Notamacropus eugenii: one gene and its partners. The protein of the gene in region 1 purifies or fractionates together with the protein of each later gene. This does not show direct contact. Links are inferred from orthologs where the notes say so. Each region holds a gene or a part of one and is shown in the gene's direction. Other genes may lie near its edges. The genes, in order: RBPJ, NOTCH2, MAML1 and FHL1.

Region 1 (7,879 bases):
AAATCATTTGATTTTGTTCTAGTATTTTTTCCTGCCTCATGGAGTCATTGATTTCTTTTTGGTCTATTCTACTTTCAGGAAGTTCAGTTCTTGACTGAGATTCGCAACTTTTCCACATTACTTTTTATTCTCCTTCCAGTTCTTTCTTCAGGAGCTGTTACTTCATTTTTTAAAAATCCCTTGCTTCATTTAATCAGGTATTCAGAGCATTCTTGGTGAAAAGTACATTTTTTTTTCCTTTGAGCTGCTACTTGCAGCCATTACAGTTACTCCTTTTGGAGGATTCTTTAGCTTTGCAGTAATTTTTTACATTGATCATTGTTTCCTTTGATTTACTCATCTCTACCTTTAGTTCATGAATTAGAGCTTTGTGTAAGGCTTCTCTTCCTGCTGTGCTTTGGTCTTGCCCTGGTTTCCTGTGCAGATTTCTGCCTCCCTAGGTTACCTTACCTCTTCGAGATTTTTGAGATTTAAAGCCCTGGCACCTTGGAAGATGATTCACTGACTCTGGGATTGGATTGTCCAGGTCTGATGGCTTGACTGTGACTGGTGTAACTGTTGCTGTCTACCCCTTCCAGAGTGTCCACATTGGGACTTTTACTGAGGAGCTCTCCATTCTTGATGCACCTGGACACAGAGCCTTGCAGGCTACACATGTCCTTAACCCTTATCTGAGCAAGCTGGAAGGGTACCTAACTAATCTGGTGCCTGCTTTGCTGGTTGTGTCCTTTCCAGTTGTCCTCCGGTTTCTGGTTGGATTCCTTTTTCAGTTCTGATGTGAAGAAGGTACTTCCTATAACTTTTCTTTGGATATCTTGATCATTATTTGCTCTGGTGAGAACTCCACGGGTTTTGTTGGAGCTAGAGCTGGAGTGGGCTGGGTGATCTTCCTCCTTCCTAGTTGTAAATTTCAGTTCAGTTGAATTTCATCTCCCATGCTCCTTTGGGAATTTTATGTGAGTGAATGTTGTGTGGCTATAGACTGAGGTGGCTTTTACTCTCTGGGCAAGTCCTTTGTCTTTCTGGTCTCTTTATTTGCAGTTGAGCTATTTAACCCTTTGTTGAGTTTTGATTAACTTTTCAACTTCTGTCTTCTAGTCTCTGCAGCCTTTTCTGTTTTTTTCTGGGGTCCCACTAATGCACCAGAAGAAAACATCCCCTGTCCTCTTGGAGTTTACCTTCTATTGGAAAACATTCACAAATAAATGTAAAATATATATAGTCATTTTGGGGTACTGGAGCCTGGAAGATCAGAAAAAGTCTCTTTTAAGAACTAGTCTCCATACTTAACTTTGAAGGGAGTTGCTGATTTCTAAGAGGCAAAATATTGAGTTCTCAGGTAGACTTTTTAGTTCCTAGGATTTGGAGCTATAAAATTACCTTAGAAAATCTTTTTATATTAGACATGCTAAATTTGTCACTGTAATTTGGACATTGGTTGAGTATTGAGACTTTTCATGTCTACTAACATCTAAATTATAGTATTTAGACATTAATTCTCTTAACTTTAAAAATAATTTAAGGAAGAGATATAAAAGTGGTCATTAATTATTTTCAGTGTGGTACAGATATTTTAATTAAGTCAACATAGAGAAAGGTTACCCAGTTACCCATTTTCTGTCTTTGGGACTTACAGTAGTGTTATATCAAGATTATATAATTAAATATAATGTGATATTTTACAGTAGATTTTATTTGAAAAGGTGTTTTTTGTTTTTACCAGACAAACCAGGGGTTCTTAACCTAGGGATCCACAAACCACCATCCTTGGATAGATTTCAAGGGGACCTTCTTTATTTTCAATAACCTCTAATTGAACAGCTAGGTGGTGCAGTGGATAAAGTACTGGACCTAGAATCAGGTAAACTCATTTTCCTAAGTTCAAACACTTAACTAGCTGTGTGACTCTGGGCCAGTCATTTAACCTTGTTTGCCTCAGTTTCCTCATCTATAAAATGAGCTGGTGAAGGAAATGAAAAACCACTCCAATATCTGTGCCAAGAAGACCCCAAATGGAGTTATGAAGAGTTGGACACAAATGAAAAATGACTGAACAACAACCGAGATTTAGCATTTTCTTCAATCATGAATTTTTTAAAAAACTACATTATTTTAAGAAAGACACTATAGTATCACTTTCTAAAGAGGTTCATGATACAGAGGCTAAAACACTTTGATTTTAAATATGTTCAGATAAGTACACTTGCACATGAACACACCTCCTACTGCCTAGTGGCTCAATTTTGTAGGTTACATTTAATAAAATTAGGAATATAATGAATGAATAGCTGTCTATAAAATCTTAAATTTCCCTGTAAGTGTACAGGAAATTTGGAATTTCTCAACCATTTTCTCTTTGCCTTTTTTCCAGACTTTAAAAGAAAAAATAAATGTAGTATATCTATTACACTCCTATACATCTGTTTGCCTATATCTATTACCTCAGCTGAGATACACATGAATGAGACTAGTTTCAGCTGATAAAGTACATTTGAGAAATATTCCTGTACTGCTTATGTAAAAGAAAAAATACTGATTTATGAAATCCTACTCATCCTGCAGGATTCAATTTCAAGTGCTACAGTCTCCTTTTTTAAGTATTTCTCCACCCACTTCCCTACCCCTTACCAAAAATCAGAAATGACGTTTTCTTCCTTGGACCTTGCATAACATTTTATGCTTAAGGTTATATTTTATTTAGCATTATAACTTTGTATATTTTATATTAATGCATACTTTGAGTGTGTGTGATTTTCTACTACTCCATGGGGAGGGGTGGGAGGAGGATTAATTATCTTTATATCTTCCCCTGTACCCTCCTGTACTTTGCAATAAGCTTTTAATAAATGTCTGCTTAATGAATACTCTAGCTCTCCTTTAAATATATAATTCTAAAAGTTTTGCTTGGCACTAGAATTGTTTTCTATGGGAAGATGTCTCCATTTTAAAAAATAAAAAAGTCAGTAGTTTCTTATAATTTGGATGTAAAAAGTAGTTTCAAGGACAGTTTGTAAAGCAGTGCCTTTTTTTTTCTGGCTAAAATTTATTTGGTAAAAGGTGATTTAAAAATCAGAATCTCAGGTTGTGGTATCTGATGATAGCAGCCTTGTGTAATATTTAAATTTGTTAGTATTTTATTTTGTGTTGTTTTCTAAGGATTTAGTTTCACTCTCGGAATAATGTTTCCTAACATCTATAAATCTTTTATCCTGTGGTTTTGCCATATTCCCTATCATTTATAAATAGACATAACTTAATACCTTATCTTTTATTATCTACCTAGTCTTTTCTGGTTATTGAAACCCTTACTTTAATGTTCAGTTTCATCAAACTTACCTTGATTAATCAGAGCTGATCCCAGAATATCATTATTTCTTTTATGATAAGTGTGTATATATATATGTATTTGAGTAGCTATTCAGTTTTGTCTCCCTATCTGTAGATCAAATTCCAAGTTCCTTTTTTTAAACATAAAAATAGATGCATAGTAGATTAAAAATAGGAATTACAAGTGAAATCTTTTCTTATTGCCCAACCCCAAAAATGAACCATGAGAAGGAGAAAATTTTTAATGAGGAAAAAAAAAATCATTCTACCAGTCCACATCTTGAAAAATCAAGAAATCAAATTTGAGGAAACCCTTATATAGATTTTGCTATCTCTGAGTTAGAATTAGTATAAAATGCTATAAGAAGACCTTACCAACTGAAATTTTTTCAATTTGTTAGAAAGTGTACAAATTTAAATCAACATGATTTCTGCTATAGGAGCAGATCTGTATTATTTCCTCTTACTAAAAAAAAAAAAATAATAATATTCCTGTGAAGAGAATGCCTTCCTGCAAAAGTTTCATCCAACTTTGGGCCAAATAATTATTCAGAGTCTGACCACTTTGACTGAGTGGTCTGTTCTGTCTTCTTTTATTGATGGAGAACTGAAGCAACAATTGAGGTTTAAGCTACTTGCCCGGGTTCTAAAGTGAGACCAAATTTTTAAAAAATTGCTAGCCCCCAGGAAGCTATGGCAAAGCTTAACTCCTTTACATAGAACAGTATTTGTTTAAAACATAGTTTTTCATATTAGCAACAGCTTATTTATTTTTCTTGATCATGGCAGTTTGTTTAACACAGTTCTCTAGTGCTTTAACATACTAACACTTAAAGTCATTTTTTTTTGTTTTTGTTTTTTTAAAGTTATTGAAATTTTGTATGAGACTGACATTGAAATGGAAGCATTATAGTTCTTCGGAGCCATTATGATCTCCAAAGGAAAGGAGAATGATACACTGGCTGAGGTGTTTTGAGGTGCATCGAAGTGTGCCGAGCCGTGGCTCACCTTAACATGTTCTTGAAGTACCATGGCGTGGATTAAAAGGTATGGCTTGGAAACATCCCAGTGACCCATTGTTCTTAGGTCATTGACAGTGTAAATCCCAGGCTTTGTTAGCAATAATGACTGAGTATTCTAAGGTGCTTTATTTTGTGGATTGTGGATATGGTTTTGAGTCTAGAGTATTAGCATTTTGTATTAAATGTATAACCTGCATGCTATGCTGTAGAAATTCAAGAACTGAATTAAAAATAGCTATAGGAATTATTCAACTGTTAAGTTTTATCTGATTTTTAAAACAGTTAATGGGCAGTAATTTTTTTTTCATCATAAATTCAGAGCAATACTTTAGGTTGTAACTAAATTTTTGATTCAGAGTACAGATTAGTTTTGTTTTTTTTTTTGCTTTGCTTCAGTGCTGTCATTTGAGTCATATATAAGTCTGACTACTCTGGAGGCCAGAACCGTGGTGTATATTTGTTTTTGTTCTACATATTAAAATTTTCACTCAGGAAAATGAGTGATTCATTATTTTTAGTGTGTGTATTGTTTATTCACAAATGTTTGTCTTATTAATCATGATTTATGTGTTTGTGATACTTAGTCTTACTGTTGTTTGTGGTTAACAATAATGTTAATTCTAGGTACATGGTACCCATAACCACTGAAAAATGTTCAGGCTTTTATGTTTCTGTAGTTTTACATGAGTGATGCAATCAAAGCCATTTTGACTCTTTGAAACCTTGGAAAACCCCTGATTTGGTAGTGCATATCTGTTGCCAAAAGCTTTCCTAAAGGTAGTAAGATATGAAACAACTCTGGTTGCTTATAAAGGTTATGCAGGGTACAAAATGTCTTATCTTTTAGTAATAAAGAACAGTGTATGTTGGAGGCAGATAGGAAAGTAATTCATTTCAGTTTGATTTAATAGAAAATCTCAGAATCTCATTAAATCACAGATTTATTGGTGAAATCACCTTATTACAAAATTATTTCGATATTTCAGTAATTAAACATGTTTTGGAGCTATTATTAAATCCAAGACATTCTCTTTTGTAGAAATAGTGTCTTAGATTCTAGAATGTTGTTTTTTAAAATTAATCCACTTGATAATTGTTGGTCATTGATGTATGCACTTGCTGTATCCTTTGCTTTTTGATGATCATGCTACCCAAATTCATGTTTTATGGCAGAAATAATTAAGGATCTTATTTTTTCTTTTTCCAAAAAAGATACCTCTTTAAAGTCTACTTCTTTTCTTCCTGCTTACTATACAGAGCTTTTCAAGGGCTTTGTAGCATTATGACATTTTGGGAAACCAACATAATATCTTCAAATAATTAAGATCTATAAACCTGTAACCGACTTTTTTTCCCTTTCCAACTCTTAAATTTCATACTTTGGCTTTTAATTTCTAGTGAATGATTTTTATTGTTGCTGTGTTATTGTTCCCTCTTGTATGCAAGTAGTGAAAATAAATTTTTATTCAGTTCTGGTGAATCCTTTTCCCATTCATTAATGGAAAGACAGAATATATTCTCCTTGGAGAATTTACTTGGGCAAAAATAAAAACACAAAAAAACTAAGTGAAATCATTTTCTGATTATGTTATGATTAAAAAAAAGAAGCAGAGCATATTTGGAAGCCCATTTCATATTTTTAAAGGATTAGATTTTTCAGGTCATTTTAGAATATTTTCCTCTAAGGTCATGTAAATATTCTGAATTTAGAAGACGGAAATTTCCCTTTATAACACTGTACCTCACTTTTTTTGGCAGGGAGTCAGGGGAGGGTTTATATCTACTTATGAGTTAAATTATTGTTTTGTAGGCTGGTGACATTTAGTGATACCTTTTAAATTATGTCAGTTTTCTTAATGTCCAATGTCCAAGATAGCTTTAAGAAGTAATTAGGACCATCTGAAAAATCCAACTTGATTTTTGCAGGTCTTCTTTTGTTAACTCAAAAAAGTTACGGTTTTGTGAGGGTTTGGTAAGGTTGAATAAGTATTTTTTTTTGCAAAGACTGAAACATTTTTGTGTTTGCCATTAATTTGTCATATTTAAAATGTGTCTTGGATTTTCATAGATCTGTAGCAAGCATTTCCATTTCCTTTTTTAATATAGAAGCTGTGAAGTCCTGCATGTCCGTATAGGATTGTAGGAACAAAGATTTGGAACTGGAAGAATCATTAGAGATAATATTATTTAGTCCAATTCCCTCATTTTATTAAATCATTAGAAGTTAAGTGACACATGCACCTTTTCACAGTAAGTGACAGAACTGGGATTTCAATGAAAATCTACTTGTAAATCCAACACATTTTCCATTGTGCTTCATTGCCAGCAGGAAGGTAGCTAGGTATGATTGTCAGAAGAAATATTTGCAGGGTTCTCTCAATCCAGGGACAAACACACTACTAAAGGTAAACCATGTTGTGTTTTGTATGATTTCATTGGTTTAAGAAACTCTCAGTGAGAAATCTCCTGCCAGCATAAAAGGTCACCTGCTTTGAAACTAAAAGTCTTATAGAGTTGTCAGGGCCACTGAGAGTTTAAGTGACTTGGCCAGGGTCACTCACTCTCCTAGTCTGTATTAGAGGTGGAACTTGAACCCAGGCCTTCCTTAATACAGCTTAAGCTCCTCTGTGGTCCTCTTGTCACTTAATTACACTTAGTAAAGTAGTTAATTTAGAGGAAAAGTGAAAAGTCAATAAATAATTCAGCCATAGATTGAGTAAGGTTTTTATATGCAATATTTTAGCAGTAAAGATAGCTGTCAAACTTTTTTTTAAAAAATCACCTTTTTCTGGTACATGCTTTCTTCATTTGCTTACATTTATTTTTCAGAGACTTCTAAAAACTATAGTTAAGAAAAAGCTACATAGAAGGAAAAAAGAAGAGGAAAACTAACGTGTATGTCTAATTTAGTCTTCAGCTTTAAGGTGGCCACTTCTTTGCAAGGGGAAAATGAAAGGTCTATCCCTTATATTTCTGAATTTTCCTATGCCTCTGGGACTGTAATAATAATTAGCATTTATATAGTGTTATATAGTGCTTCAGGGTTTGCAGAGTACTTTACAAATATCTCATTTTTATCTCCAGAAAAAAAACATTGAGGAAACTGAGGCAGGCAGCTTAAGTGACTTGGCCAGTCACACAGTGAGTGTCCAAGGCTGGAGGGACTCTTGTCTGTCACCTTGTCCTTGCCTCGTCTTATTAAACATCAGCAGTGGCTTCATTCAGCTCTTCGTGTTTGCTGTCAGTAATATACTTCTGATCCTGAGCCTTGTGGTTCTGTTTCTGTCTCTTAATACAGAAGTACAAATGAAGTAATGCCAGTGATGCAGTCAAAAACTTCTTCAGTTATGAGGAGCCAGCATCACTTGTGAGAAACTTCATATTCTTTCATATTTTTTTCTTTTGAAAGTTGATGCCTTCTGAACATATATATATATATATATTTTTTACCATAAAGAGCTGTAGCATTGGCTAAGAATTACTTCCCTTTTTATGTTGCTCTGCCATACTATTGCTTCTGATATATTCCT
Region 2 (6,946 bases), on another chromosome or scaffold:
TTCTCAGATTTTACCAAACTAAAATATAATGAATGTGGCTATGCATCATATTCTGGCTGTGGAGCTTTATGAATCCTGGGCCTACTAAGCAACTTTCTGACCCTACTCCTAAGGAGACTTTCCTACCAGGAAGTACATGTGCTCTCCTCTCAACATTAAATATTTTAGTCTAATTTCTAATTCTCTTTTTCAGCATAAAATTAGTAAATTGTCATTCTGGTTTGATCATTGACTCTTCAGGGAGATAGGCTGGAGTGAATCCGTTTTCTAGAACCAAATCTCCCATAGGTGAATTTATAAAACTTTGGTCCTAACCATATAAAGCTGCTAAAACTCATGGATTGTAATGACATTAATGACATATGGACAATTTTTACCAACACTTAATGCAAATTAACGAGACTAAGACATTGGCAAGTGTGTGTCCCCCCAATTACCAACTGCAGTGTCTCTCACATCCATCTGCTCCTTTCTATTATCCTCCTTTAAGGGACTCATTATCTCACATGAAGATTATGGTAAATATTCCCTTGTCTTCAGTCTCTACCTACTCCAATCTGTTCTACACACCACCAGCTGGTTGACCTCACTTTCCAGATAATGCACTGTGAGGTATCATGGTAGTGGAAGGAATACTGATCTGGAGTCAAAGGACAAAATCATGGAATGTAAGACTTGGAGAAGAACTCAGTGGCATAACTAGAAAGTTCAACCTGGCCATGAAAAGAAGCCACACTACAAAATACCCAACTTGCAGTTATTTAGCCTCTGCTTAAGGACCTCCAGGTAAGAGGAACCCATTCTCTCTTAAGGCATCCCATTCTACTTTTGAATAGCTCTTTTTTCCTGACATCAAGCCCAAGTTTACCTTTTTTTACTTCTACCCATTGGATTTGGTTCTACCCTCTAAGACCAAACAGAACAAATAGAATCCCTCCTCCAAATGAAAACCTTTGAGTATGTGAAGATGTTCTATTCACCTTGATTCATCTTTTCTGCATACTCTGCATGCCCAATACCATCAATGAAAACTCATATAACCCAGACTCAAGACCTTCCACCATGCTGGTTGCCCTTCTTTGGTAATTTTTTACCAATGTTATCAATGTCAACCATTGACAGAATATGTCTCCAGATGAGGCCTGATTATGGCAGAATACAACAGGCCTATCAGTTCCCAGCTGCTAGTAATTATGATTCTCCTGATGTACTTCAGGATTTTATTAGCTCTTTTTGGCTGCTAGACCTGGATTCAAGTCTTAGCCATGCCACTCACCAGCTTTGTGACCATGGTAAATCATATCCCTCCCTCCCCCAATTCTTAGTTTCCTAATCTGCAAAATGGGCCAATGGTATTTGTGGCTGGGTATAGTGGTTAGAGGCTAGTTTTAGAATTGGGAAGATCTGGGTTCAAGCCTTAATTCTGACACAGACTAGCTGTGTGATTATGGGCAAGCCGCTTAATTTCTTCAAACCCCAAGCAAGTCTCTAAAGTTACAAATTATACAGACCAGTTGCGAGAACTGCTCCATAATTTTGAATGTATAGTTCCCACATCTGGAGTTCTCCAATGAAATAATAAGTCCAGATACACATATACCCAGTTTAAAAAAAAGAAGAAAAGGGATTTTTGTGGGGGCAAAGCACTCTAAATTGTAAATTAATATATAAATGTGAGCTATAATTTTTATATTATAGCAAGTTGTATTTCCTATTTCCCCACTAGGCCATTCCATATTGTAGTTAAAAAAATGTTTCTCTACCAGTACCTAGCACAGTGCTCTGAACATAGTAGGGGTATTTGATGAATTGAAATTTGATGAATTGAAATGTGTCTGTTTTTCCATGTACTAGTGATGTCATAGAAGGACAAATCATTTAACCACTTTATGACTCAGTTTTCTCTTCAGTAAGATTATTATCTACTCTTCTGTAGTTTTGTGCCACTTTTGGGCTCAAAATCCTTCAGTGGCCTCCCATTGTTAACAAGCTAAATTTTAAACTGGCATTTCATCATCTGACTCCTATCTCTTTCCAGGCTCATTCTTACCACTTTTCTAGGCACAAGCATTCTGCTTCCTTTCTTTGCATGTTTGTTTGCGTGTCCCCTATCTAGAATACCTGTTTTCTTCTTCAGATACTTCCCATTTTCAAGGACCACATCAAGTCCTACTTGCAGTTTATGTTATTGACTCAGCCCACAGTGATTCTCCCTTCTCTGGGCACCTCTGCTCCTATCATCTTGCACTTATCACGTCTTGTATTGTTACTTGACTTTTCGGTGAGTGTCAGTGTTGGCAACTAGACTGTAAGTAGGTTATATGGTGACAAGGATGTGCTAGAGCTTGGATATTTGTACCTCAGAAATCAGCAAAACAATCAGGACTTGATTTATTATTTTGTTGATCATCTAGACTTTAGAAAGTGATGGAGAAAATGTTAATAATGCAGATTAAATTTAAAAGTGTGTCATGGGTATGTACTTTAAAAAAATTTTTGGAGAGCAGTTTGTTAAACATTTACCAGCTCACCTCTGGTAGGGGCTTAGAAGTATAACAACCCTCTGAGTTGAAAAACTCAATAAATATTTGTTTAAAGAATGGTAAGCTGCCTCTACCCTGTTCTGCTTCCTGTTCCCCAAATTTCTCCTTAACCATGGTCCTCCTTCATGACACTGATGTATAACCTTTGGGTAGAAGGGCAGCATTATGTATACATATACATATATATATACACACATATATATGTATACATATATATATAATAGGGATTTAACCTAGGAAAGATCTTAAAGTTCCAACTCCCTCCTTTTATAGATGAGGAAACTGAGATCCAGGCAGCTAGGTGGTGCAGTGGATAATAGCTCAGGGCTTATAGGTGGGAAGACCTGAGTTCAAATCCAATACTTACTAGTTGTGTGACCCTAGGCAAGTCAATTACCCCATTTGCCTCAGTTTCCTCATCTATGAAATGAGCTGAAGAAGGAAGTGCCAAACCATTCCATTATCTTTGCCAAGAAAACCCTAAATGGGGTCAGAAAGAGTCGGACATGACTGAAAATGACTCAAACAACAATGACTCAGACTCAACCTGAGGCTAATAGAGGCTCATAAATGACATGGCCATAGTCACACAAGTAAAAGTGGAGTACCTATTTTCTTTTTTACACATGAGGAAACTGAGGCCAAGAAAGATTAAATGACTTGCCCAGAGTTGCCCAAGTAATGATCAGAATAGTGGGGATTTGAACCCCAATCCAGCTCTGTCCACTGCAGTGTAGCCTAAAGGTAAAGGCCTAAAAAGGCCAAGGTCTCCCATTGCATCCTGGGCCATCGCCCTGATGAATATCTGGTCACTGGAACCAGACGTCTCAGAAGGAGAAAGTGAGGCTAGTGACCTTGCACAGCCCTCCCTCACTCAAATCAAAGTCAAGTGCAAGTCATGTCATCATTCTTCTCCATCATAAAGGTGAAGGTAGAGGCTGCTCCCGTCTCTTCCAGCTGTAAATCGAAGGTGCTAGGACCTTCCCAAGGTCACCCAGTGAGAGGGCCTAGGTCTTCTGATTCTAACCCAAATTTCTTCCCATCACACCGGACCTCCCTGTAGAGCCCAATGCTCTAGGCTCGGGCTCCCCGACCTCTTCTCCATCAGCACGCGCTCCTGCCCACGCTGGCGAGATCTCCAGCATCGACAGGGTTAAACCAGAGTCTCCGGCCCCGACCCGCGACTAGAAGGAATGGGGGGTGGGGGGGGGGAGCGGGAGGGAATCGTAGTAGATCCCTCCGCGGGGAAATCGTGCCGGAACTTTTTCGTGCGGGAAACCCCGGGGTACGGAAGGCGGCGGCTGCTGCTGCTGGGGAGGCGAGGAGGAGAAGGAGGAAGAGGAGGAGGAGAGCCGGGGAGGAGAGCCGGGGAGTAGGAGGGCGGGGCTTTCCCCAGGGGGAGGAGGGCCGAGGCGGAAGGACACACGAGGCTGAGAGAAGCAGAAACTTTCTGCCAAACTCCGGGAGGCGGCGGTGTCTGGAGCTGGAGCTGGTGCTGCGCGAATCCCGGGGCGCGGGGCGATCTGGGGCCCCCGCACTAAGGTCCTAGCGCCGCGGCTGAAGCTAGACAGTGGGGGGGCTCCCCAGCAGGGACCCCCCCGCCCCATGTGGATCCGCTTGGGTGGAGGAGGAGGAGTTGACCGAGAAGATGCCCGCCCTGAGTCCTGCCCCGCTCTGCCTGCTGCTAGTTCTCTGGCTGTGCCAGGGCGCGCCCACCCTAGGTGAGTATCTCCAGGTGGCCGAAGTGGGCTCTCTCCGCCCCCCGGTCACTCCGGGGTCCACCCTTTTCCTTTCCCTTCCCGGGCCACCCGCAGTTACTCTCCGCCTTCCGCGCCGGGGCACGGGGAAAGGTGGGGGGCTCTGGGCTTGCCGGACTCTCTGCAGCTTTCCCTGGGAGTGAAGCACTTTGATTAAGGAAAGCTCCGGACGTCTTCAGTTCCTTCTCCTCAGAGATGGGCGGGGGAGGGGAGCCGCACGCCCCCTCCTCTTCCCCGGCCCGAGCAGGGGTGGGAGGGGGCCGCTGGAGGCTCGGCCGCCGAGGACTGGGCGAGAGCCGAGCTGACCTCGGGCCCTGCCTAGCCTAACAAAGGGTTACAGTTCAGCAGGCTGCGAGCCGCACGCCCCTAGCGCTTCTGGCTCCTGGAATGCCAGACGCCCTCGTGGGGGGAGGTCGCCCTCGGACCGAGCCGATCTTACCTTCCCTGTCCGGGAATGTTAGATCAGAGCCCCAGCCTGGGCTCTGGGTGAAGGGGCAGGGTCCACCGAGCCCAGCCCAGTCGGACAGAAGTTTATTAAGCCCTGACTGTGTGCTGGGCAGCCCGCCTTGGATTTCTGACAGTCTCCCTTCTGCCTGGGTATCTCGGGAGTCTCGTGGGCATTGCCTGCATTGTGGCAGAAGAGGGAAAAAACTCATGTGGCTGCCTACTAAAGCAATTAAAATTTCGATGGCTGTCATTCCCTCAAAGACACAGATCCCCGCATTTATCTTTGGGAACCCGGCGGGGGCGGGGGCGGGCGCGGGCGGGGGTGCAACTTGTAAGAACTGCTATGTGACATTGACCGTCTACTTCAACTTGGAGGCAGTATTGGGCTTCTCTTCAGTGATCTCACCCGCCCCCTGTAGAGAGTGGGTTGAGTGGGAGGGGTAACACTTATTCTCAAAGTGCCTTAATTAGGATGTCTTCTAAGAGTTATAAAAACCTGTCTCTGAACGCATTTGAAGGTCATTTTGCTAAAGAAAAAAAAAGTGGGGGGGGGGGGGGGAAGGAATCTAAATAATGAAACTGTCTTTTCCAGGAAGAATTTTACTAAAACCACAAACGAGAACTGTTCTTACTTTTAAAGTAAAGGTATTCAGCTTTGAGGTGATTTTTGTCTATTCTCAATTTTGAATACCAGGAGATGTTAAAAAATGCACACTAGGTTTTTTTTTTGTTTTTTTGTTTTTTTTTTTAAGAGAGTAGAGGTATCCTTCCACCTGAAAACGTAGACGTAGGCATTTTCTGGTGCAAATGCACCTGCCCAAGGATATCAGAGGTGAACCAAAGATATGTGTAGAAAGAACCGTGATTATACTTTCTGATGTAGTAGCGTCAGTGAAAAGCATGGAGAAACATTTCAAGTTGTCTAAGCCCCTTTCTTCTCCTTAAAATGAAAGAAATGATGTAATGTGTGATTGGGGTGGGTGGAGGTGGCAAAATTAGTAAGATCAGATGGACGCTTGAGTCTAGGGAGTTGTAATCCTCACTCATTCTCTTAGTTTGTTTTGGCAAGTTAACTAATCTCTCTGACCCTCAGTTTCCTTGTTGTTTAAAAAAAAAAAGATGGGAAATAAATAAAACTTTCCAGACTCATTGGGGCAGAACTAATAGATGAGATTAAAAGACACAGTACAAAATTGTGCAAAATAAGAAGAAAATAGAATTCCTTTCTGTGAAGAGGGGACGTTTCTCGTTTAAGGATCCTCCAACACTGATTTGTGTCTCCCTAGCTGTGCAGGTGGCAGGTATTGGCATCCCTGTCTTACAAGTGGAGAATCTGAGCGTTAAACTAGTAAATAGAATCCTCAGTTTTCTATGCTGTATACTTGACTGCCCAAGGGAGGGTAAACCCTACTTTTTAGTGACTATCCTGAATTACACCAAATTAATAACTGTGAACTCTTTTCTGAAAATCTCCATCTTTTATCACTTGGGTTCTCCCAAGGTACCAATTAGAACACGCCTTCTGACCCTTTGAATCTCTTGTATTGGGCTTGTGGCCAGGATGTAATTTACACATCATTGAGTTCTCCAGCCGAGATCTGTCAGCCCTATTCTTCTGGTTCTGCGAACAGCCGTCTGTGACCACACCTATATCCCAGGATCTCCTTTCCCTGCAGTTGGTAGGTACTTTTCAGATCTTGCTACCAATTTGATAATTCACCTTGATCTGGTGAATTTCTATAGAATCCCCTCCTTGACTTTTGTCTTACAAATATCTTTTGAAAATGTCATACTCTTGTCAATTTATTTGAATACTATGACAAAAGGCACAATAAAACAAAAGAGCATAATTTTTTGCCTCTTTTTTTTTCCTTTGCACTGCTCTCCTTTCTCTTTTTTATGACATTCGAGGTAGGAAGGTAGGGTACAGGGAGACATTCTTGACTGACTTTTCTCAAGAAGTGGCATTAATTTTAACCCACTGTACTGCCCTCCCTAGGTTGATTGTTTCCAATTTATTCTGTATATTGCCTGTATATTGTCTCCTTCATTAGACTGATCTCTTTGAGTGCAGGGTCTGTCTTTTGCCTTTCTTTGTATCCCTAGTGCTTAGCACAGTGAATGGAAGCATTTAATAAATGTTTGTTGACTGACTGAGTGCTCGATTCAGGAGGTGACCTTTGTCCTCTCCCTGCTTTG
Region 3 (7,793 bases), on another chromosome or scaffold:
TTGAACAGATCACCCAGAAACAGAAAGCCACGAAGAGATTGAAAGAATTTAAGAACTTGATCTGTGATTCCTTTTTTCCCCCACCCTCGATGTGATCCTAGGAGAGGACCTGGGATACACCTTATATGTTGAAACCCAGAAAAACCTCAAGACTTCACTATCAACAGATTCCAGTCAACTACTATCCAATGAAAATTTGAGCATCTAGCAGTAATTAATTGCAATTGTGATAAAAAAAAAAAAAAGAACACCATTCCTGTAGAAAGAAAGCATTTAATGTATGGTCTATGGATTCTGGATGTAACATAAAGCAACTAACTTGTTGGGGTTCTTTTATTTTATTTTTTTTTTGGTTTTGTTTTTTGGTTTTAAAACACTTTTAAAAATAGAATGTTAGAGTATTGCCAATCTTCAAGAACCTTGGCTTAATTTAATGTATTAATCTATCCATGGAAAAATAACAAGCAAAGTTTAGAAAATGCTAGGTGATGAATTGCAGTTTTTATAACGTAGTTTTTTTTTTTTTTATAAACTTCGATATTCCAAAACACTGAAGTGTCTATGTCCCTTAAAATTGATAATCATGTTTAAAGTGAAGTCATTTGTGTGGATAACATTGATTACTCTCTCCCACTCTTTCATTCTTCCTCTTCTGGAGATTTGAGATTGGGGGAGAATTCCAGACTATAATAGATACTGTTTGATTAAGCTGTATTAAAAACAGAGCTACAAAAAAGGCCCTTCTTTTTCCACTCCGTGTTGGAAGGAGCATAATCAGGCCACAATATGTGCGTGTTGTGTTGCCTTTGGTTACTGCTAAGTTCCCAGTATTCCATAGTTGGCACTGAGAGTAAATAGGTGGGGAGACTTACCATTGGTACTTAGGCATTCAGGCTTCCCAGGCTGGTTGTCTGGGCTCTAACCTTATGTGGTTTCTCTAGACTTTGAGCACTACTCATTGGGGCTGTCAGGGGGTGTGTGTGTGTGTGTGTATGTGTGGGGTTTTAACAATTTCTCCTTCCACTCTGTTAATGTTCCCCCCATCCCAGGCTTTTCTCTGCTGCTATGCAGTTTCTTCAGAGTGCAGCTTGCCCTCCATTGCTGGAAATGATTATATGCTCAGCACAGTGTTAAACTTGAGTGGTGATATATATATATATATGTGTGTGTGTGTGTGTATATATATATATATATATATACACACACACATATATATATACATATACATACATATATATACACACATACATACATAGGGTTAAAAAGAAAAAAAAGACCCAAATGTCTTCAGTGTCCAAATACAGAATAGAGCATAGTCCCTCATTTTTCCATTTATGTCTTTAGAGATTATATTGGTCAGAACAGACAGGCTGATGCAAATTTGATTTCAAACTGAATGCAATTGTTCAAAGGATTTGACTAGCCGATGGAGTTGTCTGGGACTTGTAGCATGAGCTACCTGGTATACGTAACCGTTGAATTTGTTCAAATTTTTATTTGCTTTTCATGTAACAATTGCATCATAAAGTACACTGAATGTAAGGGATTCCAATTCAAACAAAAAGTTTGCTAAGTGGCTTAGTGTATTGCTGGTCTTAAGTCTTTGGAGGGGGATTAAAATGCAGGTGAGGGTTATCTGAGCATTTTACTCCAAAGAGTTAGTGCTTTGTAATGACATCACACTCTACTGAAATATACTGGGAGCTGGATGTTGATATTTTAGCTCTTATTTGTTTAGAATAGCTTGAAATGTACTGATTCACTGTCCTTGCACTGAATATGTAAACACTCCACAGTGTTCTTATTGGGAACAGCAGGAGGTGATATTAGAATTCTCAAAAGGAATTATGTCAGTTTATTTTGTAGACTACTCCATGACTGGCACCTTTCTTTAAAGGTTGAGAGGCGACAGGTGGTAGAGTAGAGAATATTTTTTCTGCCTGTTAAATGCTATCTCCTTTCATGTTATCTTGCTAGGTCAAAGTGGCCATAAATGTAGCAATGAAGTCCAGTACAAATAAACCTTTGTTTAGTAAGGGCCTGAAAGCATGTTTACAGGTATCTACTTGAAGCAAAAGTATGGGACCATTGCACTTCCAACTGTACCTTCAGAACATGTTGTGTGCCTCTCGTTGAGTTTTGGTGATTTTTCTTCTGCCTGGGCTATGGAAACTTAAGCTTACCCTGCATTATTTTGATTCTTTGAAACAGGCAACTTCACACACCCTATGTGACCAGGAAGTTTTCAGGACTTGTCCCATAGACTTCATATTGCTTAACACAAGTGTTTTTACAAACAGTGGCTCTTCCTGGTTCATTCCTTTCCTTCATAGTGTAAGGTGAGGCCTCCTACTTCAGTATCTGACAGCTTTGTCATGGATGACCAGCAGCACTTTGCACAGCAGCTCAACAAGAGGCAACAATGTTTAATTATTTTATACTCCAGTTGTCTGGTTCATTAATGTGCAAATTCCTGTCCAGCAGATGTACTCCTCAGTTTTTCCCATTCACAGAAAAAAAGTGCTATTTTTCATTTGTCAAGCTACTAAATGGTGTTGCATTAAAGCTACATGTTAATCTCCTGCTTTTGACTAAGCTTCTTTACCTTCACTGTGCATGTTTTCTCCTTCAGTGTGCACTACTTTGATTTTTGAGGGGAACAGGGTGTGTTAAGTCAGTCTTCCCCTTAATTTCCAACATATTGTGAGAAAGTTAATATAGATCTTGACTCAACAAAAAGTATTGGGAACTGTCTTAGGAAAGTTTTGATTTTTATATAATTGGAATTTAGGTTCAGAAAAGGAAGCTGGGAACGTGAACAGCAAAACAAAAAAACATACTTGTTCGGTTTTGTTGGTCAGATGATAGAATTCAAGGTATTTTCGAGTGTTAATTTGTTTGTAGGTGGTAAGTATTTGGAGGGCCAATGATGATTTTTCTCAAAAATTAACCATTGCTACTCCAAACCAGATATTCAACTCCAGTTTTAGTTTCTGATACTGGGAGTATTTCTGAAAACTATGCCAAAAGGAAGCTTTTCTACGAATAGAGGATTTTTTTATGTTGCTGTACTAAAGGGGGTACATATAGATTCAGCAAAATTGATTTCTTATTACTGGCTTGTATTTGGTTTTATCTTTAAATGAAGGAAATGGAGAACATTTCTAATAGATTAATAGGAAATCTGCCCCAAGATGTATGGTGACCTTAGGAAGAAAAGTTGGTGAATAGGGATGGTGTTAGTGATAAAAGTGATGGTCATGCAACGTATGTTTCTTTCTTATGCCTCCATTTAGGGCAGTAAATAGGGTGCTCTTAGCCAGTGACTTTATTTTATTTGACTTGATTTGGGCCCAGACAGTCTCTCAAGCCAGCATTGCCTCCATAAGTCCTGGGAGCAGTTTCCTTGTACTGCTGAACAGGAACTGTTCTCTCAGCAACCACTCCCGTGTCTGTTGTGGAAGGATAATTATAGATGCGATATGCATATATAAATATATTGGATAAGTTATAATGTAACAGTTTACTCTAATAAAGAAAATTAAAATCTATAAAGCTTTTCCCTTTTTTTTACGAATTCGCACCAGACCTGAGCAATGGGGGCATGCCTAATGACCCAAGACTTCCTTGGAGGCAGAGAAACAAGTTTTCGGTTTTACAGGAATGTCACCTGTCTCGCAGTTTAATGTGAGGTAATCTCATACCCATAAACTATAAAAATTTGACATTTCCTTTTGTTTCCACACAGAAGTAGCAGCTATTTTCTGCTTTAATAAATTCATTCCTCATCTCCTGTCTGCTCCTATAGGTGAAGGGTGTATACTTCTTCACAGTCGCCCCTTTCTGTACCTGATTTGGGTTTTTAAAGGCTGGAAAATATCCATTGCCTATTCATCTAATAAGGAATAGTGCACACTTACCAGCATTTGCAACTTGATGACTGAAGTCAAGCATTTTTAGCCTTAGTCTACTCTCACTTGGTCACAGAGAGGGTTCCAGAGGACTTCAGTGAGCTTCCTTTTTTTCCTCCTGGGTTTGCCCCCAGCAATACTAGACATACTGTTGATATGTTTTTGCGTGGGACTGTTTGGTATGGAGTAACGGTGCTCTCCAGTCCCAGGAAAAGCGCGGCGGGAAGCGTCCTGGTGGGACGCGGACCGTACGCCGAGTTCAAACTGCTAACCTAGGCTTAGTGGACGCTTGGAAGTGGGCAATAACCTTTAAGCCCGGGTGGGAGGCCGCAGAAGGCTAGCTTGTGCACGCGCGTTCCTCTTAACGTAACCCACCTAAGTGCATGGACAGAAGGGCCTGAGGCGGTGGCAAAGTCAGGGGCGCCTCTGGACACCTGATGAGGAAAGGCTGCCTTGGCTGGCTGCTAACCATGTCAATCACTTTCCAGCTCGCCCAGCCCCCTCCTGTCTCATCCCTTACCCAGTCCCAGACCCTCGCCTTGTCATTGGTTGCCTTCGTTTTCCTTCTCTCTTCAGTTCCTTTTAAACATTATTTCCGTCCCAGACCTTCGCCCTCTCATTGGTTGCCTTCGTTTTCCTTCCCTCCAGTTCCTTTTAAACGCTATTTTTCCGAGCCGGGGTCCCGCCCCGTACACGTAGTTCCAGGTGCGTATGTCTCCTGCTCCTCTCGGGTTGGTAAAAGGCCTGTACGTCAAATCATGACGTCAAACGTAGGCTCCGTCGCCGCCGGCGGAGGGCCCGCCTCCTCCCGAAAGCGTCCCGAACAATTTCAAGATGGCGGTGGCGGAGGCGGCGCGGAAAACAATGGAACTAGGGCCGCGGGGGTCGGCCTGGCTCTGAGGCGGGGGATCGCGGCCTCCGCCGAGCAGACGCTCAGCTCCCGGGCCTGCTGGGCCGCCGCTTCGTCCTCCGTGCGCGGCGCCGGTCTCGGGGTTATGGCCGTGCTCTAAGGAGAGCTGCCGCCGCCGGGACAAGGAAGGGGAAGGAAGCAAGCACAGGGGCCCGGGCCCGGCTCGGGCCGCTCGGGTGGGACAGCGGAGGAGGCGGCGCGGCCCGGCGCCCGCGGCGGCCCATGGTGCTGCTGCCGCCCCCCTGCCCCATGGCGGAGTTCGCGATCCCGCGGCACAGCGCGGTCATGGAGCGCCTCCGCCGCCGCATCGAACTGTGCCGGCGGCACCACAACACCTGCGAGGCCCGCTACGAGGCCGCGTTGTCCGAACGCCTGGAGTTGGAGCGGCAGCACACGTTAGCCCTGCACCAGCGCTGCCTACAGGCCAAGGCCAAACGCGCCGGCAAGCACCGGCAGCCTGCGCCGCCCTCCTCGGCCCCCGCCGCCGCGCCACCCGCTCCGGCCCCGGTCCCTGCCGCAGCCGTCGAGGCCTCGGACGGCAGCGCCGCGGAGCAGAACCGCTCCAGCAGCGCCCTCATCGCGGTGAGTGAGCCAGCCCCCGGGGCGCGGCGGGAGGGTGCCCCCGGCTCCATTCGGGGGCCCCGCAGTCTGCCAAGCCCGGGGCACCTCGCGGCGGCATTCCTGGGGCGCCTTTTGGTCCTGAGTCGCGGAAGGCTGCTAGGAAAGGTGCCGCCGCTTTGTGCGTCCCGGGGCGAACGGAGTGCGCGGGGCGGGTGTGAACCGCAGGGGCCCAGGGAAAGTGACGAAACCGGTTCTGATTTGAGAAGTGGGAGGCTTCCCCTGCCTGCTTCTATGGGTGTGAAGTCGGGCGGGACTGGGAGGAAGCGGACCCCGATAGGGAGAGAGGCGCCGCGGCTGGAAGCGCCCCCCCACCCCCGAGCCCCTGGTGCAAGTGTCTGGCTCCCAGCGCAGCTCCCACAGCTGAGGTCGCGATTTCCTAACCCTCCCTGTGGTTAGGCACCAGAAAGGCGGTCTTGGCACGTTCATTCCCCGGGATCGGGGAACAATATGGTTTTATTCCATGCCTGTTTTTAGGAGGTAACAGTTCACGTTTATAGAAACTCCCTAAGGGTTGCCAGAGTACTTTCTTTCCAACCGCGAGTATTATCGCCGTCTTATAGCTGAAGACACGGTCCCAGAAGCGATGTTCTTGGACTTGGGGGCTGGAACCGAAGTCCTTTTACATCCAAACCAGACCAACGTTTGAGGATGTTTTCCCATAGGTAGACTTTGAAGTAGACTTGGTGACAGCGTAGTTGTGTGAAGTTTTCTTTTCGATAATTCGGTATACTAACTTAAAGATTGCCCACAGCATAAGTAACTCCTACACGGTGTGAATTGTAAAAGAGTCCAGACCCTAACGGTGTTAGTGGACCTGATGCTGAGGCGAGGAGGCTTGTCAGGAATAGGACAGGATGAAATATTGTGAAAGCAAGTTCTGTAAATGTAATCTTACAGCGGCACCACGGAAAACTCGCTAGGAAACCTTTGAGTCTTGGAATTTGACAAAAATGTTTCTCACAGTTTTGAGATTCCTGAGAAGCTAGAGGACAGTTCTAAAGGAGGCTGTTGGGACTTTGTCCATATGGTGGTAAAGTGACAAATGTATGGTATAAGCAAACACTACTAGGATCTTTTCCTTAACTGGGTTTTCTACTATTGGACTATTCTAACATATGGCTTTGTTCTATAGCAGTTGTCAAGGAAAGATCCTAATAGCATAATTCCACTTTTTAGAATGGATGTCAGTTTTAAACTTTGTGTAAAATGTGATTCCCACCATACTGCAGTTGTGACAGTGGAACATTTTATAGGTACAGTGAGAATCCCTAGTGTGAAAGGTAATGTGTAGTCACATGGGTGAGCTTTGTTGATGTAGGGTTTTAGTTCCTCCCAGGAAGAAATAAAACAAGAAAAAAGCACGGAAAGATTTTCTTGGGGCTTGAGGGGATGTTGGTTGGTTTGTTTTTAATGATTTAGTAATTTCAAGGAAGGAAAATGGAAGTACCAATTTAAGTATTAGTGGTTGTAATACAAGTTTAATTGGTTTTGTTAATGTTCAAAAGTATGCTTACAGTTTATAAAATGAGGAATCCTTGACCAAATTTGGCATGTGTTCATCCTGATTCAAGTTCTTATCACTTCACACCTGGATCAAAACATAGCCAGAGCCTGGCACTTACTAGGCACTTAGTAAGGTGATTGATGAATTGCTCAATCGTTCTACCTCCTATTTCTCCCTTACATTCCAGTTGTACGCTGAAGCCAGAATAATCTGCATAAACCTCCTATTTCATCAGAAAATTTGCTGACATGATAATGTTCAAAATCTTTTACCTGCAAGACTTAAATGTAATCTGGCCAAGATCTTATGTTTCCAGTCTTAGTTTCCACCACTTATCTCAATCTGTCCACCTCCAGCCAACCTGAAATACTCTGCTTCTCCCACCTTTATGCCTTTCCTGTTCCCCACATCAATCTTTGCCCATATTCCCCTTTCCTCACTTCTGCCTCTCTAAATCCTACTCTCCTACAGAACTCAGCTCACTTCCCTCACCTTTTGAAAAACTTTTGAAACCTTCCCTCACCTTTCAGCCTACAATGATCTTTCCCTCCCTCCTTTCTGTCCCTGTAGCTATCATCTGTCCTACTCTAATCATTGCCACCAATCATGTAACTGTCTTGTCTTTACAGTGTGTGTCTTTTGTCTTCCTAGTTAGATTGTAAGCATTTTGAGGGCAGAAGCCATTTGTATCCTTTCATAGGGCCTTGTATTGAACTACCACTTCCTAACTGTTTGTTGATGTTAAGGATTTTCCTTTTCTGCAAGAACTGTACTCATTGAATAAATGATCTCCAGTGCCCACTGGAAATGATTTTTCTCAACATACAGTGCTTGTTTTAAGAAAAGA
Region 4 (7,642 bases), on another chromosome or scaffold:
GAAGGAGACTGTATGTGGTAGATGTAAATGTTCCAGTAATCAGAAAAACTTTTGCTAAGGCTTTTTCCCTTTGAGAGCGATAGGAAACTGGAGGCTCAGAAGGCTCCTTCCTGCTCCTTTCTCTCTCCTTCACCTTCTTCTCTAGACCCTGTAATTGCCCCTAATAGTTGACTGAGTCTTTGGGAACACAGTAGATTGAAGTGAGATTCACCTATGGTTGAAAAGAAAGGAGGTTCCAGCTAGCCTGAATATTTCATTGTGGGAGGGAAGGTGAGGCAGCAGATTCTGGGACTGAAGAGTAGGAAACTGGGAGTGAAGCTCCAGGTCGGGGGAGATCAGTGACCAGTTGGAAATGAAGAATTTTTACCCTTCCATCTTTCTTCCATTATTTGGTCTTGTTTGGTTTTTACCTTGAAGGACATCAAGCTTGAATGGGATGAATTGGTCCTAATTAAAATGACCAGTTCCTCTTACCTAGAGAGGGAAATCCCAGTTGGACCAGTAGGGCGCAAACACTGGGCTGCTCTTCTGGGATGACCAGTAAGTATTTTTTCAACCCTTGGACCTCGTGTCTCTAAAGGAGAAGGAGAACCAGAAGAACTGTGGAGGTAGGCGCCAAGTAGGCTGCTGAATTCCCTGTGTTTAACTTTTAGGCTTGCATGGTCCTGGATGTTTGGAGTTTGATCCTCCCAGTGGTGTTCGTGAGGTGGCAGACTTTGGAAAGAAGCCCCACAATCGTAGCTGTAATGTGATCTCACTATCTGTCAGGGAGAAGTCAGTTGCATCTTGAGTTCCCCCCTCCCCCTTCTGGGGTGAGGAAGGGCATTGTTTACTGAGGCACCAGACAGCCCTCCTTATAAGTTAGTGGGCAAAGTAGTGAAACAGTAGGATGCTGAGAGTGAGCAAATGTGATTTTCAGGCAAGTTGACACAAGAGTGAACTAAGGGTTCTTTTGGATGTCTAGGATAACTATCTATGAACCATTATAAATTGAGGGGGAAAGTGATTCCAAAATACATCAGGGTGTGAAAAACTGGAGGGATTCCTGGAATACTTCCTTGAAACACCAAGGAACCAGCCTTGCCAATGAAATTAGTGACTGATTCTATGTCATGGGGTTGGCTTAGGGTCTGAATGAGGCTGACGATGCTTCAGATTCTGTCTGACCATGAGAAGCACACAAAGATTTGGACAAACCCACTGTATCGAGGAGAGAAATGTGACTTTTGCCAACTGTCTTCCTGAGGAGTTCACTTATGACAATGCAAGGGCCCCCCCTTCTTGGGAAAGGAGTAGTTTGATAATTGTGCAGATTGGCAGCAGTTGGGGTAGATCAGGTGTTAACATCAAGCAGAGGTCATGAATCATGTCTTTTTCAAAGAACCATAGTTGCCTAATAGGTGTGAATTGCAAGGCCAAGCAAATTCAGTTACTCTGAGGGCAAGCTCCCAACTCCCAGTCTCCTTGGATTTGATCAACTCCCTTGTGGTCAGAGAGTATCAGGCTATCGGGGATACTTTTGGTTTATGGAGCAGCACAGCTTTACTCCTGATGGGTCAATTGAGTGGAGAAGAAAGAGCCTTAAAGTAGCAGTCAGAAGACCTGCTTACTACTTCTGTCTCTGCTAAGGATTTTCTGGCTGTGACCTTGGGAAAGGATAGACTCATAGACTGTGCAAGGACTCACAGACCACACAAAGACTGTGGTGATCATGGAGGCCCACTGTACTCAAAAAGGCTCTTTCTACCATATCCTTGACTCTTAGTCATTTAATCTCTCGAGAGATTGAATGCCTGTTTCACTTGGGGATGATTCTCATCATCAGGAAGTTTTTCTTTGTGTTGATCTGTAATTGGCCACTTGCCAACTTCTACCCAGTGTTCTTCCTTAATCTTCTGAGATCAAGTCACTGCCCCCTTTTTCCTGACTCTGGCATTCCATGTTATATAAATTTCATGCAGGTTTAAATCTAGTTTTCCTCCATTTCTCCCTTCATTTTCCTTACCCTCCTTGATGCACTTTTAAAAAAATGCATCTAGTGCTTAAAGAAGGTGCTTTATTTCCTAAAGGAAAATCCTTCTGATTCACAGCTAAAATGGAAAATTGGCTCCTACATGAAAAGATTTTCGGCATCTTAGAGTTCAGAACATCAGAGGGGCATCTTGAAAGCTGTTGGTTACACACAAAGATGTGTCTTGCTGAGAGCTAAAACTAAGCTCTTGAAAGACTAATTTTCCAATTTATAGAAGACTCAAAGCAGAGAAGTAGATAATTGACATAGCAGATGAAAGAACCAGGTTCCCAAGGGATCCCATGGGCTGAATCAAATAAGGTGCAATTCAAGAGGGGTTGATGTTAAGTTCTACCTTGGGGTTCAAAAAGTCAACTTTCTAAGTATAAGATGGGAGAGGCTAGACAACAATTTGTATGCAAAAGCAAGTTCCAAATGAAGGGCTCCCCAGAAGACTGATGCAGTTTGAGGTTACAGTACCCATGGTAAGAAAGAGGGTCTTTTCTACTCTGTCTTGGTCCAACCACTTATGGAGTGGCATGGTCAGTTCCAGATACTTCAGTTTAAGGAGGACATTGACAAGTCAGAATAGCCAGAATGGCAGGTAGAATAGTGGAGGACCTTGAGTCCACATCATATGAGAACTGATTGAAGGAACTGGAGATGTTGGGCACAGACAAACAAAGACTTGGGGGAGACATGGTGGCTCTTTTCAAGTACTTGCAAAGCTGTTGTTGAGTAGAAAAGGGCTTATTTTGTTCTGTTTGGCCTCAGTGGGCAACAGGTAGAAATTGTAAGGCTGGATGTTAGGAAAACATTCTTTCAAATTAGAGCTATCCCAAAGTGGAAGGGGCTGCCTCGGGAGGTGGTGGGTCCCCTCTCCGTAGTGGTTCCCATGTGGAGGTAGAAGATCACTTGGTAGCTATGTTGAAGTACTGGTTGGTTTTTCAGGTATGGCCTCTGAGGTCCCTTCTGAATGGGAGATGACGGGATTTTCTGTGGAGGAGGGCTTAGAGAAGCTGGATACAAGGAGACTAGTCAGGACACCTAGTTAGGAGCTCAGTGAGACCTGAACTGGGGTATGGCCATGGAACTAGAGAGAAGAGGACACTCGTGAGAGATGTAGACAAGACTTGATGACCAATTGGATATGGGGGCTCTAAGGAATCTTTTACTTTTGACTCCTTTCACTCTGATAAAGTTCCAATTGTTATTTGTCTTAAATTTAGCTTTCAGGTGTCAAAGAATTCATTTGTTCCTTCATTTGTTTATTCATTCATTTGACTAACATTTGTTAAGCAACTACTATGTGCTAATGACCAAACTTGGCACCGAGAAGAGGCAAGAACATGAACCTGTCTCTTTCCTTTGTGAAGGTGGGGTCCTATGGGGGTTGTACATTGGATATTCTGTTAGACTGTTGATGGCTTTGTTTGTTTTGCTAAACCAGTTTTTCCCCACTTTCTTCTTTATGTTTTGTTACAAAGAAATGGTTCTCTGAGTAGGAAAGGGGAGAGGGATATATTTAGAAGCAAGGGTGTTGTAAAGACAAAAGAAATTCATTTTTAAAACTAATATATATATATATATATATATATGTATATATGATGCAGTTGAGGGAGATAGAAAAATAAATGACCTCAAGGAGCTAATAGTCTAATAGATAGTTCCCCATTCTGGTATTCCAGGATTTGATGAGCAAGAGCACATTCATCATACCTGTTGTGTGACTCGATGATTTTGTAGCATTCAGCCAACTTTTGGTTTTCCCAGCTCATCTTTCTCGTCTGCCTTTGGCCCCTTGACCACTGTATTGTCCTTCTTTTGAACTCCCTCCAGTTCTGACCACAAGAGTACCAAGCCTTCCACATGTACATGCAATGGTCTTAATAGGAGAGGAGGAGAACGGTTTCTGCTTTGGTTCCAAGTCATGGCCTCAATTTTGGGGTGACTTTAGGGGAAAAAATTTCTAATAGTCCATGGAGCTGATATTTTCACCAGTAGAGTTTCGTTTTGCTTGTTTGGGACCCAAGATGTCTGTGTTGTACCCGTAGCATATGTTTCTTTTGGTTATCTGCTTTAAAGGACTCTTGAGGAGTTGGGCATTTTCCATAAATGGAGTTTTTTCCATATCGGGCTGTTCTTCCTGTGCTTCTGGTATCTATAGTAGGCAGGCTATAAGTTTAAAAATGCATCTATAATCTCTACAATTCTACTGTTTAAATCCCACTGTTTTATTGTACTAACTATAGTTGAGTTTATATACTGTAATTATTTTCAACAGAAATAGTATTATTTCTGTGGAGTAGAGCTGAACACTTGGGATCTATAAAGCAAATTAATAAGACTGACTTAGCAATGCCCAGGCCATGGCCAAATGTTGCTCCAGGAGAGGGATGGCTTTCTCTGTAGCCACTCCCGACTTTGGAGCTAATTTGGATGCTGAGTCGTTCCCCAGGTATTTATATGCAGTGTTTGGTATTTTTACTGGATCCTATTCTTCTCCCTGGGATCACCTAAAATGGTAAGAATTTTCTAGTGGGATTAAGGTTGTGATCTCTTGGGAGGGGTGGGGACATCTGCTCTTAGTTATTTTTGTATTAATAGCCTCCCCCTTAAATGTATGTTATCAAATGAGCCATATTCTTATCAGCTGAGATAGTGGTAGCAGTGACCTGGGCAGTGCTGGGGAAGTTGCTCTCCAAGGCATGGCTTCCCAGAAACACTCGGGTAAGGAGAGTCTGGGGTGCTCTTTGATAAGATTTTCTGACAACAATGATTTACATCGGCAAATGAACTTGACTGGGAAAAATGGGGGGATTCAACAATTTTAGGCTTGTAGATTTCGTCGTTGATATTGCCTGCCTTTAGGGAATGGTTAGCATGCAGGCAGAGGTGGTATGCTGAGTGATATGGACAGAAAGAGAAGAGGTTTTATTTCATCTTTTTGTTCCCAGGGCTTGGATGCAGGAGGCAGTTCAGAAATACTTGTTGAATCAATGAATTTCAAACATGCAAACGTGGTAATAGATTTTTGCATTCATTCTAATCAAAAGATGTAGACAACTTGTAAAGCCAGAGGGTAAGGACTTGGACAATGCTGGTTAGTTTGGTTTTTGTTTAGAGTAAGTTTGCCATCTAGTTCCAGGTGTATTTTTACTTTTGTTAAAACTTCTTATTCCTTTTGACTTTGCTGAAGGGGTCTGGAAGGTGGAGTTGGGGGGAGGAGGGAAGGGATGGAAGTCCGATGGAGGCAGAGTGCTCATGGAGTGATTGAGGGGCCCTGGTTTGAAGTCAGCCTGCTGCATCTTCCCTTCCAGGATGAATCTTTTGGGAAGACACAGCCCCTCTGTGTCCCCTCTTTTTTACCCAAAAGCAACTTTTTCTCTGAGAGCCAGAGGTCCAAGAATTAGAGGGAAAGGAAGAACCACTTTGATGAGGCAGCTGTTTTGCCAGGTTTTACATTGCTATCCAATAGCTAGTTAAATAAGATAGGATGCTACGGAATATTCTTTGGCTGGTTTTTCCCATACTAACACTATCCTAGCTCCTTTTACAGGCTTTAATAGTTAATGCTTCCCTCATTCCTAGGTGCATGAAAGCAACACCTTTCCTTACAAAGGAGCCACTCTTCCGACCTCAGGACTACATGCTTGAGATTGTGTTAATCATCTAATATACACAGTGTTTGGGTGTGGAGAAATTATTCAGCTCTGACTTGCCCTGGTACACCTTGGCTGTTTGGTAACTGGTAGAGGAACATTTGATTTCATTTATTAATTAAATAGCTGAGTTATTAAATGTTAGAGTTGATTTAAAAGGTGACACATTTCCAGGCATAGCTTCATTTTGGGTTATAAATTATACCAGGTCCCCAGGTGTGATTGTGGCTTCTATAAATCCAGAAGGGGGTAAGTACAGCTTGAAAGGGCCATTCATTATTGGAGTAAATTGGATCAACTTGTATTCAACTCCCCTGTGAAATTAGGGGGGAAAACCTATTTCAGGAAATAGAATTCCAGCTTTGTACTAGGAAAATAAATCCAGAAACTTGATAGAATGGGAGAGAGAGGATGCAGTGTGACCCTAAAGTGTAGGTGTGGTCTACATGGAACAACTGCCTAATTTTGCTAGTGGCTTTTGTGTGTCTGTGCTTAAAATAGACCCTTGAGGGTAGATAAGAACATGGTTCCCTCCCGTGTTTTATGAACAACAGATTCAATAGCTGTTCTACCTCCTCCACTTGAGCTTTGACAGGCAAGTCATAGGGCCAAAGGAAGCAATGTCCCTAGTGACCCGCCCGCCCATGTACAGTTAGTTACTTATGGCATTCACACTGCCATCAAATAGCTTTAAAGAGCTGTCCAGGGCTGACACTTGGTGGAGTTAATGGAGTTGATAAAGGCCAAACCAAAATGTTTCAGGCATTTGACTCCCGGATAGGTCTCTGCCCGTCCCTAATACTGTCTCTAATAAGTAATTTAGCTGAGCATCGCAATTGTCTGCATACCTTTTCTTCTCTGACAGGCCCAGCTCTTCTTTCCTCTGAAATACACCCCCCACCCCAAACAACCACAACCACAATGCATTTAGTGAGAGGGTTTTTTAATGCTTTGTTTGAGAAGCTTCATTCACAGGACCCTTGACCTTGGAGCTGGAAAGGGACCTTGTGGAGCCTAGTCTGACTCTCCTCAGATAACAGGTGAGGAAACTGAGGTCCCAAGAGAGGAAGTGAATTGGCTAGAACAATAAAGACATATGGGTTTTAAGTGTCTGTTGGGCCCAGAACAGTAAGCTTGATAGGTGTTAGGGGAGAGAAAATTTAGATTAGACACAGTCCTCAGAACTATTAATACCAAAGACAACTCGGCAAAATCATGAAGTAGGTAAACTTAGTCTGTTCTCTGTCCTAACTTAACAAAGAACACACATTTATCAAGTTCCTAAAAGCCCCCAATGGGGCCTGATGAGTCGGATGTGACTGAACAAGTGTATATGTCTTGCTAGGTTGGTACTAGGGAGATGTCAATGACTTATGAGCTTGTGGAGGTGATCAGACACGTTCCCTGAGAAATGAGTCCCCTGCCAGTTCCTTTACTAGTGTGTTAGGGCCTCTTCCGAGGCCTGTTCTTGCTCTGGATCCTTTGGTTTCTCCTAAACAATTCAAGGGCATTAATGATTAATAAAGGCTTAGGATGTGCCCCTTCCCCAGTCTCTTTGTGTCTTAAACAGGGATTCTTTTGAAATGACACCCTGAGCGTGGCTGATATTGTAGAAGTTAGCTTAACGTGAATCCTTTCCATTTCAAAATGTCATTTTCTGCTTTCCACATCCAGAGAAAGAACTATGGAGGCTGAATGCACATCCAAGCATACTATTTTTCATTTTGATTTTTTTTGGTGGCTTTTCCCTTTTCTGTTTCTTCTCTCATATATGACAAATATGAAAATATGTTTACATGATTGCACATGTATGACCTCTATCAGATTGCTTGCTGTCTTTGGGGGAAAGGGAAGGAGAAAAAATTTGAAACTCAATATCTTATAAAAAAATGAAAGTTGAAAACTATCTTTACATGTAATTGGAAAAGATAAAATACTATTTCCCGCCCCCTCCTCCCATTATCAGCAT

The links.
Region 2: the proteins of RBPJ (region 1) and NOTCH2 purify together in Homo sapiens (affinity purification with mass spectrometry; 3 studies listed by BioGRID and IntAct, counting the BioPlex papers as one, with this or other methods). This does not show direct contact. The link is inferred for Notamacropus eugenii from reciprocal best matches to the Homo sapiens genes RBPJ and NOTCH2.
Region 3: the proteins of RBPJ (region 1) and MAML1 purify together in Homo sapiens (co-immunoprecipitation; 12 studies listed by BioGRID and IntAct, counting the BioPlex papers as one, with this or other methods). This does not show direct contact. The link is inferred for Notamacropus eugenii from reciprocal best matches to the Homo sapiens genes RBPJ and MAML1.
Region 4: the proteins of RBPJ (region 1) and FHL1 purify together in Homo sapiens (affinity purification with western blotting; 4 studies listed by BioGRID and IntAct, with this or other methods). This does not show direct contact. The link is inferred for Notamacropus eugenii from reciprocal best matches to the Homo sapiens genes RBPJ and FHL1.

Annotation. Positions count from the first base shown.
Region 1 is NC_092877.1:79,244,044-79,251,922, forward strand, and holds the start of RBPJ (recombining binding protein suppressor of hairless), read left to right. Parts: upstream 1-4,863; 5' UTR 4,864-7,663; coding exon 7,664-7,716; intron 7,717-7,879. UniProt on the Homo sapiens protein: Transcriptional regulator that plays a central role in Notch signaling, a signaling pathway involved in cell-cell communication that regulates a broad spectrum of cell-fate determinations.
Region 2 is NC_092873.1:300,122,252-300,129,197, reverse strand, and holds the start of NOTCH2 (neurogenic locus notch homolog protein 2), read left to right. Parts: upstream 1-3,938; 5' UTR 3,939-4,191; coding exon 4,192-4,264; intron 4,265-6,946. UniProt on the Homo sapiens protein: Functions as a receptor for membrane-bound ligands Jagged-1 (JAG1), Jagged-2 (JAG2) and Delta-1 (DLL1) to regulate cell-fate determination.
Region 3 is NC_092872.1:416,685,732-416,693,524, reverse strand, and holds the start of MAML1 (mastermind-like protein 1), read left to right. Parts: upstream 1-4,785; 5' UTR 4,786-5,043; coding exon 5,044-5,403; intron 5,404-7,793. Other genes in the region: CANX (calnexin), read left to right, coding at 1-42. UniProt on the Homo sapiens protein: Acts as a transcriptional coactivator for NOTCH proteins. Has been shown to amplify NOTCH-induced transcription of HES1. Enhances phosphorylation and proteolytic turnover of the NOTCH intracellular domain in the nucleus through interaction with CDK8.
Region 4 is NC_092879.1:57,439,871-57,447,512, forward strand, and holds the start of FHL1 (four and a half LIM domains protein 1), read left to right. Parts: upstream 1-4,640; 5' UTR 4,641-4,719; coding exon 4,720-4,741; intron 4,742-7,642.